4 linked regions of the Caenorhabditis elegans genome follow. The protein of the gene in region 2 purifies or fractionates together with the protein of the main gene of each other region. This does not show direct contact. Each region holds a gene or a part of one and is shown on either strand. Other genes may lie near its edges.

Region 1 (4,627 bases), on a different chromosome or scaffold from region 2:
ATTTCTGATGTTTTCCAACATATTTTCCTGTAAATATATATTACTGGAACAAAATACTATGAGAATGCGTATTGCACAACATATTTGACGCGTAAAATATCTCGTAGCGAAAACTACTGTAACTCTTTAAATGACTACTGTAACGCTGGTGTCGATTTACGGGCTCGATTTTTTGAAATAAATAGAATATTAAAACTAAGCATCCATTTTGAAAATCGAGCCCCGTAAATCGGCATAAGCACTACAGTAGTCATTTTAAGAATTACTGTAGTTTTCGCTACAAGATATTTTGCGCGTCAAATATGTTGTGCAGTACGTATTCTCTGAATTTTGTGCTCCCGTAATAACCCTTCCCAATCGAATCTATCCACAAACACTCTTCTGCCATTCACACACACACACTACTCAGAACATTACAAAATACGTGCAAACTCGGACTGCGCCTTCTCTCTCCGTCTCTTCATTGTCTACACTGTATCGTCTCGTTTCTCTCGACTGCTGCTGCTGGCCAGCCAAAAAAAAGAAAAATAAAATCGAAGAAACCCCGCTATCTCACTTGTTGTGTAGTCTTGATTTCGATTGAAATTTGTTTCGAAAAAACAATGTCGAATTCGATTTTCCATTGTTATCTCTCGTCCTTATCAAACGTTGGCTATTGATCACGATTTTCGAAAGTCATTTGCGTCATTTTTAATTTTTGCCTAGACTCTAGAGTATCGACTTTTCACGATTTTCTTGTCAGTATTCTTGTCGAAAAGTGACTCGAATTTAATGAAAATTTGTCGTGTCGAGACCGGGTGTGTCTCAAAAATCGTAAAATTTCGCCTCTGGCTAATTTAGTATTCATTGGCAAATGTAAGAAAGGTATATAGTTCAGCAAAAATTCCTTTTGTGTTCGACTCGAAATTATCTGAAATTACCGAATTTCATAATGAAAATTCTTGAAAACTTCTCAAAAAAAGTTATGGCGGTACAAAAAATGACCTGAAATTAGTTAAAATTTGAAATTTGACCGTCTTGTCAAGCGGCTGGATGCTAACTTTTTGAAATCATCGTCTAATTATGGGTATATAAGTTAATTATCTTGCGTTTTCAACTCGATTTAGGTATATTTGAGGTCGATTTGTCACCAGATTTGGTTAAATTTGGTAACATCTGGGGGATACATCGAGCTTAAATGTACCAAAATCGAGTTGAAACTGCAACAAGAAATTAACTTGTATACCCAAAATTAGACGGTTATTTCAAAAAAGTTAGCCGCTTGAAAAGTCGGTTAAATTTCAAATTTTAACTAATTTCAGGTAATTTTTTGAGCCGCCATAACTTTTTGGAGGAGTTTTCAAGAAGTTTCATTATGAAATTCGGTGTTTTTAGACTATTTCGAGACTACTTAAACAATAAAAAACGTTCGACTAGACCATCTTTAGATAGTTAAGTTTTTGCTGAACTATATACTTTTCTTACATTTGCCAATCAATACTAAATTAGCTAGAGGCGAAATATTACGATTTTTGAGCCATACCAGGTCTCGAGACGACATTTTTAAAAATTAAATTTGAGCCACTTTTTGAAAAGAATACAGGGCAAGAAAATCGGGAAAATCGATACTCTCGGTTTCACAAAGAATAGCAATTCTTCTATCGTTTTCTCCTCCTTATTCTGAATTTCTATCCAAATTTCCCTCCAACAAAAAAATTCCATAATTCTTGTAGAATCAAGATGACTCGCAAGTTCTTCGTCGGAGGAAACTGGAAGATGAACGGAGACTATGCCTCCGTCGATGGTATCGTCACCTTCCTCAACGCCTCAGCCGACAATTCCTCCGTTGATGTCGTCGTTGCTCCACCAGCTCCATATCTGGCCTACGCTAAATCCAAGCTTAAAGCCGGTGTGCTTGTCGCCGCACAAAACTGCTACAAAGTGCCAAAGGGAGCATTCACCGGGGAAATTTCGCCGGCAATGATCAAGGATCTTGGATTGGAATGGGTGATCCTCGGACACTCGGAACGTCGTCATGTCTTTGGAGAAAGCGATGCTGTTAGTTTAATACATTTTGATTTGATCTTCGAAAAATTCGGGAAAAGATCTTCTCGAGACGCAGACTTTTCCACTGATTTCGCAAGAGTGTGCTGACGTCACATTTTTCTGGCAGAAAAATTCCCGCATTTTTTGTAGATCAAACCGCAATGAGACAGCCTGACACCAAGTGTCAATAAAAAATTCGAGTTTCAGGGAAATTAATCTGAAATTTCTTTTTCAGCTGATCGCTGAGAAGACCGTGCATGCTCTCGAGGCTGGAATTAAGGTCGTTTTCTGCATTGGGGAGAAGCTCGAGGAGCGTGAAGCCGGACACACCAAGGATGTAAGGGAGCAAAATACTGGAAATTATCGATTTTTCGCAAGAAAATTTGAAAATTCAACATTTTCAAACTTTCAGATTTTTTTTCTTAATTTTTTCGGGTAGAAAATCGATTTCTTCTAATATTTCAGTAGAAAAATCAAGTTTTTGAGATTTTTTGAAAATTCCAAAATGGTTTTGTTTCGAATTTGCACGTTTTTCGGGAATTTTTCAAAGTTTCTTCTTAAAAAATCCCTGAATTTTATAGTTTTGAGCTCAATTTTTCCTCAAAAAAAACGCAATATTTCTCTTTCTGCAACGAATATTAGAAATAATCGCTTCGAGACCCGATTTTTATGAATTTTCGTGAATTTTGAACAGAAAACATTTAATTTTATCATTTTCCAAAAAAGCGGAAAATTCCAACAAAAAATGGTCGCCAAAAATAATTCTTTTTTTTTTTGCCAAATTTTCAACAAAAAAATTGGTTCCGGCAATAAAAAAGAAAAAACTCCTGAAATAGTCGTTTCGAGACCCGATTTCTTATGAATTTTCTTGAATTTTGCAGAAAAGTTCAAAAAAAAATCTCCGAAGAAACATTTTTATTTAAAAATCTTCGAAAAATCGATTAAATTCCCTATTCCACGTGGTAAAACAAAAAAAGTTCAAAAATAATCGCTTCGAGACCCGATTTTTTAATGAATTTTCGTGAAATTTATATAAAAATACAAATTTAAATTCCCAAAAACGCGAAAAATTCAAAAAAAAAAAAGAATCCCGAAGAATATAAAATTTTCGAAAAATCGATAAAATTTGAAACAAAAAATTCCTGAAAAATAATACCCAATTCCTTATAAATAAAGATTTTTTTTAATGTTGTAGAAAAATAAATTTCAAAAATCGATCGCTTCGAGACCCAAATTTTCCAATTTCCAGGTAAACTTCCGTCAACTTCAAGCCATCGTCGACAAGGGTGTCAGCTGGGAGAACATTGTGATCGCCTACGAACCAGTTTGGGCCATCGGAACCGGAAAGACTGCTTCTGGAGAACAAGCCCAGGAGGTTCATGAATGGATCCGTGCATTCCTCAAAGAGAAGGTCTCACCAGCTGTCGCCGATGCCACGAGAATCATTTATGGAGGATCTGTGACTGCTGACAATGCGGCTGAGCTTGGAAAGAAGCCGGATATCGATGGATTCTTGGTCGGTGGAGCATCGTTGAAACCCGATTTTGTCAAGATTATCAACGCCAGATCTTAAATTATTATTTATTTCCCCCTATTTCACAGATTTTTCCGGATTTCCACTGATTTTTCACCGATTCCCCTAAATTTTGGTCGTAAAATTGGTTGATTTTCATTGATTCCCCTAATTTTTAGCCGTAAAATTAGCTGATTTTTCCCGGAATTTCAGCTTCAAAATTGTAGAATTTCCCTTAGTTTTCCCCAATTTTCCCCCAGATTTCCTCTAAATTATATTGTAAAATTAGCTGATTTTCATCAATTTTCCCGGAATTTTGACCGAAAAAAATCCAAAATTTGGGTGAATTCGTGAATTTTTTGGCTTGAAATTTGGCTTTTTCCTCTCTACAGTGTAGATATTAGTAGCAGCTTTTTTTTCCAGTATTTTTGATATTCAAAACCTATATATATTTATATAAATAAATTTCTTGCCGACAAATAACAAAAAATCGATATTTTCAAACAATAGTTACTTGTTCTGTGTGAATATTTCAGCCGGCGATTTTCAGATTTTTGCGGAAAATTTTCAGTTTTCAGATGAGTAATCAATATATCAACGAGCCGATTACGACGGGAAAGGTAAAATTATTGATTTTTATCGATTTTTGGTGGAAAAAATTGAATTTTCCAGAAAAAATGACCGAAAATTTCAATTTTTATCGATTTTTGAATAAAAATCGAAAATCCAGTGAAATTTTCGATTTTTCCGATGAAAAATTCGCGTATTTTTGCAATTTTTAAGCTGTAAAACGAAAATTTTGAGTTTTTTTTATCTAAAAATTGGCTAATTTCGAAAAATTTTGGATAATTTATTGAAAAATACGACCAATTTTGCACTTTTTGCGCCAAAACTACGTTTCCTGGTCTCGACACGACAATTTTTGTTTATTGCAAAGAGGTGTGCGCCTTTAAAGAGTACTGTAGTCTTGAACATTTTTTTAATCAAAAAATCTATAAAAATTCGAGACTACAGTAATCTTTAAAGGCGCACATCTTTTTAACAAAAATGTGTCGCTTCGAGACCCTAGGTACCGTAGTTTTGGCGCGA
Region 2 (3,750 bases):
ATTTCATAATTGAAATTTATTCCAGAGCATCATTCCATATGATGAGCAACTTACAACTTCGATACTCAATGGATCCGTGGCAAGTTCTTACACCTGAACAAAATTTCACTTTCTTTGTACCAACTAATGAAGCGTGGCATAAAGTGAGTTGGGAAAATTCTAAATGCAGTTTCACCTATATTATTACAGCAATCAACTTCACTTGTTGCTCGAATGAATGATGGAAATCATTGGCAAGCACTGCAGTATGTTTACAAACGGCATATTGTGCAGGGACAGGTAGATTTAAATCTTTGAGTCTAAAAAAAACAAGTTTCAGGCATTAATGTACACAGATCTTCGTGAACGAACCTATGTAATGATGAATGATGAAAAAGTTGTGATTAGGAGAAGAGGGAGATGTGAGTTTCTTTTTGATTTTTAAATCTAATTTTTAACACTTTGCGTTCAAAAGATCAGCAGCTTCATTTAAATATTCAAATCCTCTGTGCAAACAGTAAGTGGACAAGTTTTTCCGCTCAATTCACACATTGTGTTATTGGCAAGGATAACACAAATGACAAAGAATGAGAAACATCTTTAGAACTCTATCATGGGGCTATGATTCTCGTTTGAGCTCTGGGAAATCATTTTTGGCAGTATGACGTCTCGTATAATTTTCCATACATTTGGTGAAAAGTTTTGCAAGATTTGACAGCAATAGAAATAGTACATGTTAGGAAATTTAGACAGATTTTAGGCGCAAATAATTTACGAATTCCATACAATTTCAATAATAAATTTCAGTCTTCGAGTTGTATTGGCCACGTGGAGATCGTCGAGCACAAGTACTAGAAGGTGGTGAAATAGCAGGAATCAATGGATATATGCATATGATTGATAGTGTTTTAATATATGAACCGGATCTTCGAGCTCATGCGTGTACAACTGAGCCAGTGTTCCTCCAATTTCTTGTAGTTTGTCTGGTTATGGTATGGCGACCCGGATGGTTTACTCCGTTTTACACTGTATTCTTCTACAGATAATTCATTTTATTTCTGTGTTTAATTTTTCAATTTAACGTGCCATCTGACATTTAAATATTTGAAACGGGTAGATATATTGAACCGCATTTTAGATATCATATTTCAGTCATTTTATCCATTTCTTTCTATCTATCAAATTTCTTTTGTTTTTTGAAAACATTCTATCTCGGTTATTTTAATGATCTGCATTGGTTTTTTGATAAAGCTGTCAGGGATATTTTTCTTAATATTAGGTAAACCATATTCTGATTGGAACACCGTTGACCGAGGTTATAAATGTCTTTGATTTACAAGTAGACTAGGCCACCAAATTTTTTTTGCAGCCACGTTGGAAATCTTGTGAAGTATTCAATTTTCAAAATAATCAAAATGAAGAACTACTAATTGTAATTTTAAAACAAGTTAGAACAACTTATTTTCTGACAAAAGAACTAAACTTTGAAAAATTAGTTCTATTGTATTTTCACAACTTTCTAAGCCGCGTAATAAAAGCGCATGGGTTTTTCGGCTAGGTGACACGAAAAAAAGTTTGTGGTAGCGAATTTTGTGGTAGTAGAATTTTCACTAATCTTTGAAAAACCAAATAAAACACGTTAAATCTAGATCAAGAACAAGAACAACAACTCCCAAAAAAGTTAAATAAATAAATCATATCAGAAATGCAACAGTAACATTTCTTTACCATCAACTTTCTATCGCGACAAGACCCATCCGAATAAATACGTGTACAATTAAGTACGCATTACAGAAATTTTCTGAGTACTGAAAAACTAAATAACCATGAAACTATTCGAACCCGAGTCTATTCTTTGTCCAGTCACAAAACACTACAACGTAGCCTATTCGTAGCTAGAGAGACGGAGACTTGTCATCATATTCATGTGGTTTATGCCTACTCGCGTATTTTCTTGCTCCAAATAAATTGTCATCATTTGATTTGTGTTCTATTACTTTTTCGTTTCATTTATAAACCATTTTCCTAAATAATTTCGCAAAAAAAAAATCATTTCCAATTATTTTTAAGATGTCTTCGGTTTACGATTTCAACGTCAAAAATGCTAATGGTGATGACGTGTCACTTTCGGATTACAAGTGAGTTATAGAGAAAACAATGAAAATGGATATTCAAAATTGATTTTCTTTTTCAGAGGAAAAGTTCTCATTATCGTGAACGTCGCTTCACAGTGTGGACTTACCAACAAGAATTATACACAACTCAAAGAATTGCTCGATGTGTGAGTTTGAAATGAAAATATTGCCCAATCGCGAAATATTCCGATAAGCTCCAAAAAAGCGGTGTCCGGTCTCGAAAAGACAATTTCTTTGCTAAATGCAAACGTGCTTTTGAAAGGACTGTACATACTGTAATGTACTGTATTGAAAACTTTTGTTGCTATGGAATTTTTATCGATTTTTCATAGTTTTTCTCACGATTTGTTTGCAGTTATGTGTTTTTAATTATTATTAAGTTTTTTATTTTACTTTTTTATTGAATACATATTTGACGAAAAACTATAAAAAATCGATGAAAATTCTGCAACAACACAAGTTTTTAATTACAGTACTCTTAAACGCGCATATCCGTGTATTTTTGTTTTTAACAAAAATTGCCGTGTCGAAGCGCAAAATTTTGCGGCTAGATAAGATTTCCATTTCTTTAAGACGACAAAATATTCCAGGTACAAAAAGGATGGTCTCGAAGTTCTTGCCTTCCCTTGCAATCAATTTGCCGGTCAGGAACCATCGTGTGAAATCGATATTCAAGCATTTGTCGCTGACAAATTTAAATTCGAACCAACACTTTTCCAGAAGATTGATGTGAATGGAGATAAACAGTCACCACTTTTCAAATTTTTGAAAAATGAGAAAGGTGGATTCATGTTCGATGCAATTAAATGGAATTTCACAAAGTTCTTGGTTGGACGCGATGGGAAAATTATCAAGAGATTTGGACCAACGACTGATCCAAAGGACATGGAAAAAGATATCAAAGAAGCACTTGGAGAGAAATTGTAATTTATTGCAGCAATTCAAACTTTCAAATTCAATTCGAAACAAAAAAAAACATACTTAAAATAAAGATATGATATTCATAAATTGAACCGAATCACATTCAAACAGACATAGTATAATTATAACCCCGTAATTAGTCGCTGGTATCTTGTTCAAGACGACGGCGCATGTTCTGAAACCACTTGAAAAGGTGTAAGAAATATATTTTGCTAAAAATAAAACTAACACTATTATTTTTCGCTTTCATCTTCGAAAAGCTCATCGACTCTAGATTAGCCAAAGCCAGCTCAGCCACCCGTAATTCAGCTTTATGAACGTTCGACTCAGCAGCGGATGCCAAACGTTTACCCCTGAAATAAATTATTTATTGCTTGTTTAGTACTGCAAAAGCGTTTTTAACTTACTTATAATATACAGCAATTTTGAAAATTCGATTATTGGTTGGTCCTTCGATTCCAAGTACCCGATATTCTGGCATATCTGGTTCCGAACTACTTGGATCACGCATTGCAAGACACCATTGCTGGAGATGTGACTTAGCATCATTCCATTTCTCGCTTTCGATAAAGTGTTTCAGTCTTGGACAAAATACAATTCTGATGAAAGCACGACAATGCTCGATTCCACGATCTACATAAAGAGCTCCAATAAATGCTTCGACAAGATCTGCTTTATCCTTTAGTTTCAACTCTGGTGTTTTATAAGGTGCTTT
Region 3 (5,072 bases), on a different chromosome or scaffold from region 2:
TGTTCACAATTTTTGGCTATGTATTTTTTTAACAATTGAAGCAATCAAAACATATTTTAACAAAAAATACGGGAAAAATTAAATTCGCACACATTTTTGTCTTTAACGAAAGATTCTTGCGTCAAAAATCGCAAGTTTTTGCCTCAGAGTAATAATAAGCTAAACATTTTAACCCCTCATCACAAGTGGAAGCTTACAAAAAATAAAAATTTTGCAGAGAAATGTCAAAGAAATTGAAGCCATTCGAAATTTTAGAGGATTCGTGTGCATCAGTATGTATTTGGCTTAACGGTGAACCTACGGCAATCAGCAATCGCGCTGAAAATTTATGGAATAAGGCCAAATATCGAGTTGCAACTGATGGAGCTGTTAATGAGATTCTTAAAAGGTGATCTAGGATCCAGAAATTGAAAATTATCGTAAACCGAGTTTTGGATTTCAGAAAGAGTTTCGTCGAATGGCCTCATATTATCTGCGGAGATTTCGATTCAATAAATAAACAGATTGATACAAAAAATGCAAAGTTAGTTTAAATTCTACTGAAATTAAAAATTAATATAGGCATTACTCAACTTCATTGTAATCGTGTTTCATGTTTGATAACATCTTCTATTAATGAGCAATGATAGAATTACTGTAGGGTTACTGTAGTGATCACAAAGAATTATTACTGTAGCGGCTGTTGAATATTAGCTAAAAGAATATATAGGCGTGAACGTTGAAAATAAAATTAAAATATTATTGAGTTGTGTTTTTAATACTGGAAGACTGAAAGCTACAATTCGTTGAGAAGAGTGTATTGACCAGGTCATAATAATGATTTTGCACTTTTTTTGGTATTTCTGGCTTGCCAACTAAATGTTATTCATTCTGTGTTCAGGACTAAAAAAATAAAAATATTTTGTCGAAAATTGTTCTTAATGTTGTTTTAGAGTCGTCCATCTGCCTGATCAAGACTACACAGATCTCTCGAAGAGCGTTCAGTGGTGCTTAGAGCAGAAAACACTAACAAGCTGGGAATTCGAGAATATCGTTGTTCTAGGAGGTCTCAATGGACGATTTGATCACACCATGTCAACGTTATCATCTTTAATAAGATTCGTTGATTCTCAAACTCCTGTGATCGTTTTGGATTCTAGAAATTTGGTTCTCGCTGTTCCTACAGTAATCCTTGGCAGGCCTATGTGAACATTAAGAGTTAAATTCAGGGGGATTCAAATCTTGATGTCAATCTTGAAATGACAACAAAAATGTGTGGAATCATTCCAATTGTTCAAAAGGAGACAATCGTCAGTTCAATTGGACTAAAATATGAAATGGGTATAATCCAATGTTTCAACATCATTTCTATTAAACGTTTCCATTTCAGAAAACCTTGCTCTTGAATTTGGAAAACTTATCAGCACGTCGAATGAAGTTACCACGAGCCAAGTATTTTTGAAATCTTCGTCGTCTCTGATTTTTTCAATTGAACTTGAAAATTGGGTCTACAAACTTGATTCTCTATAGTATCACATTTTATGGTCCCTCTTAATTCACAACTTTTCATTCCTTTGCTATTCAACTGTTCTATTTTCTTTTTATTCCATTTTTCCTAGTTTTCACCGGTACTATATAATTATCTACAATATTATAATACACTTTATTCCCTGTACCATTTTGTGTTGAAAACGAATTAATAAAAATAAAAACGAATTAATAGTATGAGATTAAAATTTTCATTTTAAAAGCAATGTTATTTGTTTAAAAAATATCCAATTCTAATGAATTATCTGCGAATATCCGATAGCGATTTCAAAAATCTAATGAAAATTGAAATTCAACTTTAAATCATTTGTAGATCAATTTTCTGATGCTTCTATCCACTTTCAAACGACATCTACCAATCAGGCGTCTCTTCTCATCAAATAAATTTGATCTGATTGTAATTGGAGCAGGATCTGGAGGACTTTCTTGTTCTAAAAGAGCAGCTGATCTTGGAGCAAACGTGGCATTAATTGATGCAGTTGAGCCAACTCCACATGGACATTCATGGGGAATCGGAGGAACTTGTGCAAATGTCGGATGCATTCCTAAAAAGTTAATGCACCAAGCAGCAATCGTCGGGAAAGAGGCAGGAATAATATTATAAATATTTAGAGCACTAAATTCAAAATTCCAGCTAAAACACGCAGACAAATATGGCTGGAATGGCATAGATCAAGAGAAAATCAAACATGATTGGAATGTGTTGTCAAAGAATGTGAATGATCGAGTAAAAGCAAACAATTGGATTTATAGAGTTCAATTAAATCAGAAGTATTTTTTTTAATTTTGTGGAAATTTTTATTTTTATGAAATTTAGAAAAATCAATTACTTCAATGCCTATGCCGAGTTTGTGGATAAAGACAAGATTGTGATAACTGGTACAGACAAAAATAAAACCAAGGTACGTTTGGAAAAATGAAAAAAGAAGTTTTAAAAAATTTGTTCCGTATACCCAAAAGTTTTGCGGCTTTTCGGAGGAGAATACGGTATCAGGTCTCGACACGACAATATAGTTTTCCGAAAAAACATAATTTATTCTAACAAGTTGTGATAAAATCTATAAAAATAATCTATAAAAATTCCGTAGCAACAAATGTTTGAGATGACAGTACTCGTTAAAGGCACAACTTTTCGCATTTGACAAAAATTTGTCGCGTCGAGACCTGGTACCGCATTTTTGGCGCAAACTTTAGGTAATAATAATATTGCTAGGAAACGGAAAATTAAAAAATTTCATCCTAGATTTTCAGAATTTTCTTTCCGCACCGAATGTAGTCATCTCAACAGGACTCCGTCCCAAATATCCAAATATTCCTGGTGCTGAACTTGGAATCACTTCAGACGATCTTTTTACACTGGCATCAGTTCCCGGAAAAACTTTGATTGTTGGTGGAGGATATGTTGCATTGGAATGTGCTGGATTTCTTTCTGCATTCAATCAAAATGTTGAAGTTCTTGTGAGATCAATTCCTTTGAAGGGTTTTGATAGAGATTGTGTGCATTTTGTCATGGAGCATCTGAAAACAACTGGAGTGAAAGTTAAGGAACACGTGGAAGTAGAACGTGTAGAAGCAGTTGGCAGTAAGAAGAAGGTTACATTCACTGGAAATGGTGGTGTTGAAGAATATGATACAGTTATTTGGGCGGCTGGTAGAGTTCCAAATTTGAAAAGTTTGAATTTGGATAATGCTGGAGTGAGGACTGATAAGAGATCTGGGAAGATTCTAGCAGATGAATTTGATAGAGCTTCCTGTAATGGTGTATATGCCGTTGGAGATATTGTTCAGGTACGATAAAAAAAGTAACATTTTTTTAAAATAAAAATGATAGTATTCAGGATCGCCAAGAGCTCACGCCACTTGCTATTCAATCCGGAAAACTTCTAGCTGATCGTCTTTTTTCAAATTCCAAACAAATAGTTCGATTCGATGGAGTTGCCACTACAGTATTCACGCCTCTTGAACTCTCAACCGTCGGGTTAACTGAGGAAGAAGCCATTCAGAAACATGGAGAAGATTCGATCGAAGTGTTTCATTCTCATTTTACTCCGTTTGAGTATGTTGTGCCACAGAATAAGGATAGCGGTTTTTGTTATGTGAAAGCCGTGTGTACAAGAGATGAATCGCAGAAAATTCTTGGTCTTCATTTTGTTGGACCAAATGCCGCAGAAGTAATTCAAGGTAATTGATTCAAAAAGAGAAATAGTCCGCCCCGCCCGTCACGAAAATGTTTTCTGAACACCTTCAATTTTGGAACAATGTTCGAAAAACCATAATCTGTTCGCAAAAACTTACGTGCTAAATCTGTTATTTTGAATTTTTTATCTTTTTCTTTATTGAATGAATAATATTACACATACGCAAAATTCTGCTATTTTTGCGCCAAAAATACGGCTTGATACGACAATTTTTAATGCAAAGAAAGTGTGCACCTTTAAATAATACTGAAAATTTAAACTTTCGCTGCTGTAGAATTTTTATCGATTTTTTAAAGATTTAATCACAACTTGAGACAATTAATAAATTTTTATCAAAAAGCTTTAAAAATCTACAAAATTTCTGCAGAATCGAGAGTCTGAAACTACAGTATTCTTTACAGGCGCGAAAAAATTTTATCGTGTCAAGTTCAGGTACCGTACTTTTGGCAATCAACTCACAATATTCTGCGGGTAGGTAATACTAACAACCTCGATAATCGATCAAGATACGAAAACTTTAAAAGCTAACCGATTGCACTAAATTATTTCAGGCTACGCAGTAGCATTCCGTGTTGGAATTTCAATGTCTGATCTTCAAAACACAATTGCCATTCATCCATGTTCTTCTGAAGAGTTCGTGAAGCTTCACATTACAAAACGATCTGGACAAGACCCAAGAACTCAGGGATGCTGTGGATAATTCAAAAAGTTTATTGACAAATCATTCAGTTTATTTATCAAAGTTAATTTACATCCTATTATCCTGGATACTAGTAATTATAATTAAACATAATAAATAGTACAAAATATTTGATTATCCTTTTTAAAAGATACCGGGAACTACATATTCTTAATGCGCATCGTGCTCATGGATGGGATCACATGTCTGACGAAGTGTCGAAATACGAGTTCCAGAAGTTGTTAGAATAGATATCACAGATGTTGTTGAACTCCATTTCTTCATTGGCTTCGAAACATTCTTCTTATGGAACTGGTGCTTCCGAAGCTCAGCCTTATAACGATCATCAAACATGATTACATAATTATCTGGCTCACAGAGTTGTACTCTTTGTTCCTTCTCTAATCCCCGCGTGAAAGCGTAAAAGTTTTTATAACCTCCTTCCAACAAATAAATCTCCTCATAATCACATCTCGGATAGATATTTGAATTCAGTTTTCTGTCCACTTCCCGAAGGTTGTTCGCCATGGTTGGTCCACGTTTTTGACTGTATTCACAGTAGAAAATGGGTATCCGGTTGATTTTCTTGGAACCATCTTTGTTGAAGAAGAAGTCTGCAGCAGTTTCTGGATTGAACAGGCTTTGAGCTCCCTGAAAAGATTTGCAGT
Region 4 (4,363 bases), on a different chromosome or scaffold from region 2:
AGGCTTGCCCATTTTCTCAGCTTATCCCACTTATCGTCTTGAAATCTACTGGAACCAATTTCGTATATATTATTTGAGCAGTTGACTGGAAGTAAGTTGTTGATTTGCGACGAGCTAAATACCATCTGAAAATTCACGGCTAGTTTGAGTTCTGTCCAGGTATGATTTTGTAATCTTTGGTTTCAGTTTTTATAAGGCATTTTGAAAACAAGCTGAAATAATTTTTGAAAAAAAAATAGATTTTCTAACCAATTTATTTTGACCCATGACCGTGACTTGAATTTGCAGAATTAAATACCAGAACTCTACGCCCATGTTTCAGAAAACCACACCGATGCGTTTATCTGAAGTCGAAAAGTTTCTGAAAATTTTGTTAAATAATTATGTATTTAACTCTCTAATGTATTTAACATAATTTGATTTTATAAAAATACTTTGTCTTTTTCCTCGAAAATCTTATGGTTTCAGAGAACTCAAAATATGTGCGTGTTATACCATTCATTGTAAGCACACTTCCAACTAAATAAATTTAAATTTGAAAGTGATATTAATTTTTTTTAATTTTTCGTTTTCAGAAAACTGACAATTATATTTCTTTCAAAACAGTTAGAAACACAACGTTTCAGAATCGAATAATTGAATTAACGTAATTGCTAAACAAATATCGTGCATATCATTTTTCAATAACCAACTCCAGTAAAGATTAAGGTCGAAACCCAATTTATTAAAAGTTCCCATTCTCAGAAAAAAAACAGGCTACAAATAAAAATGAGATAAAGCATACTGCCATTCTACAACCGGAGAATAAGAAAACCGAAAACGAGAAAATTATTCTATTATGACAGATAGAATAAGTTAAAATGGGAAGAGTGCATTTGTCACTGATTTACTTGGTGACTTGGTGGAGAGCGTGGGCAAGGTAAGCGACATTGTTCGATGAAATTCCCGCCACCGAGATACGTCCGTCCTTGGTGAGGTAGACAGAGTGTTCCTTGATAAGCTTCTCAACTTGTTGTGGGTTGATTCCAGTAAAGCAGAACATTCCAATTTGGTTGGTAATGTGCTCCCAATTACGAGTAGATCCCTCCTTGGCGAGCAAATCCTTGAGCGTAGTTCTCATGGTGATGATACGATCAGCCATGAGCTTGACATCTCCGAGCCATTGCTTGTTGAGAGCTGGATCCGCGAGGATGCGGGAAGCAATGCGAGCTCCATGGACTGGTGGGTTGGAGTAGAGTGGGCGAATAAGGATCTTGACTTGAGAAGCAACACGAGCAGCCTCATCAGCGTCCGAGGTAACAACGGAGAAAGCACCGACTCGTTCACCTTAAACAGAATAAATTATAAAAATTATGCAGTATTCAGGGTTAGGGCTACAAAAGGGTAGAAAAGATAGGATAATGCGACACCAGTGATATCCGCGTTATCATGGCCTAACTTCCAACACCAAGAAGAAACTGCGCTCTATTGCACAAAAACAATACATTTCGTATTGAACTCCAGCTTGTAAAATTCAAATTTAACAAATTAGTATGTAAACTCACCATAAAGTCCCATGTTCTTGGCAAAGGATTGAGAGAGAACAATGTTGTGTCCTTGCTCGACAAAGTAACGAACAGCGAACGCGTCATTGTCAACATCTCCGGAAGCGAAACCTTGGTAAGCCATATCGAAGAAGACAAACAAGTTGCGTTTCTTCACAATGTCGGAGATCTTCTTCCACTGGTCACGGGATGGATCAACTCCAGTTGGGTTGTGAGCACAAGCGTGAAGCAAGATTGTGGATCCTTCCGGGATTTGAGCAATGTCAGCGAGTGCTCCAGTTTCATCAAAACCACAGGTGGACTTGTCATAATAGCGGTATTGCTTGACATCGACTCCGGCAAATTTGAAGATTGGAACATGGTTTCCCCAAGTTGGTGTTGGCTGGTAGATAACCTTGGTCTTGGCGTACTTAGAAAGGAACTCAGATCCGATTCTAAGGGCTCCAGTTCCAGAAATGCTCTGAGTGGTGAAGATTCTCTTGTTCTTGATCACATCAGAGTTCTCTCCAAGAGCGAGTTGAGCAGAGAGCTTGGTGAACTCGGGAAGTCCTGCAAACAAATAAAGAGTTCAAATGGATCAATAAGTTTATAACACTCACCAACAATTCCGGCGTACTCCTTATCAAGATTGGCAGCGATCACTTGACGTTCAGCTTCCTTGACCGATGGGAGAACAAATGGCTTTCCTTGATCGTCACGGTAAGCTCCGACTCCAAGGTTGATCTTCTTTGGGTTTGAATCGGCTTTGAAGGCCTCGGTGACTCCAAGAATCGCATCTGGTGGTCCCATCTCAACATGCGACCACCACGACTTTCCTCGCACGGCGGTAGAGAAAAGCTTCTTGGAAACGCTCATTGTTGATTGGAGAAAGATTACCTGAATATTCAATATTAATGTTTCGAGTGGGAACTTAAAAGACGTTTTGAAAGTAGGCGTGGAAATCACGTTCCGATTAGAATGAAGCAACGAAACATTGATAGCAGGGAAGACTAGAGTACGTACAACGCATGATTCCTTATCCGAAGAAACAAAAATAAAATAAAACGTGGGTATCATTATCTTTACCAGGACAATTATTTGAGTGTTCAATGGTGTTTGAATGGGCTGATTGGACACTTTTTTTAAATTCAAAAAAGATACCCTAGGACACTCCATTCAGGGTACTAACCACATTTCTAGCCTTTAGCAACGGCGTGGCATCAAACTAGGCTAAAATTGTAGTTAAACTTATTGACTCTATCAAAAACAACTGATGTGAAACAACAAAATGGACCGACTGCACCGCCTATGAAAGAATGGACGCGTCTGCTCATCTTATCCCAGTCCACGAACTGGCAAGGAAGACGACAAGTGAGAAGAACTGGAGAAACTAGGTTAGAGAGTACGGAGATTCGAGAGAGTGTAGGGTGGCAGAGGAAAACTCGGGCGGCCGCGGCAACGTGAGAAACATGCGGTTCGACGATTCAGTCGTTTTTGTGTAACTCGGCGCTCGAGAACTGGTAAACAGTAAGTAAACTGCGTTCGAAAAAAAATATAAGAAAATCGCCGTACTTCGGTCGTGAAATTATTTGTTTAAATAATATAATTTTTTAAACTTTTCTATTAGCAGCACCGTGTTCGCAAAAAAAAATCTCAAAGAATTTTTGATGAACGGAAAAAAAGCGACTAATGACTGTAAAAAGGCAAGGAAAAACTGAGGCCAACAAGATAAATGAAAAAAAATTTGGTTGTTGTTGTGGTTCGTCACTCTCAAAGGTTCGATATTGTCCGCGCGCGGCCGGAGAACACAGGTTGGTAGGTCAAAAGTGCTGGTGGCACACGGATATTGGAAGTCTTAAAATTCAAGATGGTGTCTTACTTCAAAAATTGAATTTGGGATAGCAAAAAAAAATAAATTTAAAGTACAGAAAAAATATAAAACATAGAAAAAAGTTAATGAAAAATGGTTTTTATATTAACGTTTGGACGTTTGGAAAACCGCTCAAAATTGTGTGAAGAATTTCGGATATATTCTGGAAAGGAATCCACCAAAGTGTTGGAGTTTTTTCCCGTCATTTTCAAAGATTAGGACAATTTTTGAGTTTTTTTTTCGATTGTTCCAAATAAAAGGAAAATGATTTTCAGATAAAGCAACCAGTTTTCTATAATCTTTAACTAAGGTATAATTTTTATTTTTTGTTGAATTGCTTGTCGGAAATTATAGCGCATCCACGGTCGATAAAATAAAATGTAAATTGTAAGATGGTTTAAAAAATTTTTCTAACATCTGGAAACAAAAACGTTTACAACTGAACTGCCTGTGAGTATAGTGTTATCATTTTGGATTACCTCTTGTGAGCAAACTTCAATACATTCAATTCTGATAAACAAAACCTAGCACACGTCACACTAACCTGTAGTGTTCAGATAGAGTTTTTTGAAAATTACTTTTAGATTGTCGCCCGAATTTTGTGTAATTCACTTTGTGTTACAAATTTACAAATTGTTCAACATTTGTGTGACTTTCACGTGGACATCCGTAAACATTTTGAGTCCTTTGTTTCTCTCAATTTTTCTCTCGATTTGAGTGCAAAATGATTTTTGCGATAAATATGAAAGAAACTCCAAATTTTGCCTAGCCTAGAGAAAAGGATCTATTGTCTCCGGGAGGTTTCGTATCGCGGAATCGAGACCGGCCTAGAACAGGATCTGTTGTCGGGAAGAGATGAGATTTCTAGGACACGATATGAACGATGTCAAGGCTAAAAAGGTTGCCTTTCTCGAGAAGAACCGTTCATTCTTGCCTGACTCGCATTGAATAATGTCGCATCCTACTCCAG

What was found.
Region 1: the proteins of gpx-1 (region 2) and tpi-1 fractionate together in Caenorhabditis elegans (co-fractionation; one large-scale study listed by BioGRID). This does not show direct contact.
Region 3: the proteins of gpx-1 (region 2) and trxr-2 fractionate together in Caenorhabditis elegans (co-fractionation; one large-scale study listed by BioGRID). This does not show direct contact.
Region 4: the proteins of gpx-1 (region 2) and got-2.2 fractionate together in Caenorhabditis elegans (co-fractionation; one large-scale study listed by BioGRID). This does not show direct contact.

What each region holds. Positions count from the first base shown.
Region 1 is NC_003280.10:12,036,225-12,040,851, reverse strand, and holds tpi-1 (Triosephosphate isomerase), read left to right. Parts: upstream 1-1,712; 5' UTR 1,713-1,719; coding exon 1,720-2,037; intron 2,038-2,260; coding exon 2,261-2,362; intron 2,363-3,274; coding exon 3,275-3,598; 3' UTR 3,599-4,017; downstream 4,018-4,627. Other genes in the region: cyn-16 (Spliceosome-associated protein CWC27 homolog), read left to right, coding at 4,117-4,158. UniProt on the Caenorhabditis elegans protein: Triosephosphate isomerase is an extremely efficient metabolic enzyme that catalyzes the interconversion between dihydroxyacetone phosphate (DHAP) and D-glyceraldehyde-3-phosphate (G3P) in glycolysis and gluconeogenesis.
Region 2 is NC_003279.8:9,778,300-9,782,049, forward strand, and holds gpx-1 (Glutathione peroxidase 1), read left to right. Parts: upstream 1-2,049; coding exon 2,050-2,117; intron 2,118-2,173; coding exon 2,174-2,260; intron 2,261-2,704; coding exon 2,705-3,041; 3' UTR 3,042-3,114; downstream 3,115-3,750. Other genes in the region: F26E4.7 (FAS1 domain-containing protein), read left to right, coding at 26-143, 190-279, 320-401, 787-1,025; drsh-1 (Ribonuclease 3), read right to left, coding at 3,172-3,219, 3,265-3,388, 3,443-3,750. UniProt on the Caenorhabditis elegans protein: May constitute a glutathione peroxidase-like protective system against oxidative stresses.
Region 3 is NC_003281.10:8,911,929-8,917,000, forward strand, and holds trxr-2 (putative glutathione reductase 2), read left to right. Parts: upstream 1-1,840; 5' UTR 1,841-1,852; coding exon 1,853-2,113; intron 2,114-2,161; coding exon 2,162-2,298; intron 2,299-2,344; coding exon 2,345-2,429; intron 2,430-2,778; coding exon 2,779-3,315; intron 3,316-3,365; coding exon 3,366-3,708; intron 3,709-4,276; coding exon 4,277-4,425; 3' UTR 4,426-4,531; downstream 4,532-5,072. Other genes in the region: tpk-1 (thiamine pyrophosphokinase 1), read left to right, coding at 222-388, 443-523, 933-1,164, 1,209-1,320, 1,370-1,509; M-phase inducer phosphatase cdc-25.3, read right to left, coding at 4,576-5,055.
Region 4 is NC_003284.9:6,239,040-6,243,402, reverse strand, and holds got-2.2 (Aspartate aminotransferase), read right to left. Parts: upstream 2,421-4,363; 5' UTR 2,400-2,420; coding exon 2,144-2,399; intron 2,094-2,143; coding exon 1,545-2,093; intron 1,327-1,544; coding exon 887-1,326; 3' UTR 694-886; downstream 1-693. Other genes in the region: rml-3 (dTDP-4-dehydrorhamnose 3,5-epimerase), read left to right, coding at 4,345-4,363.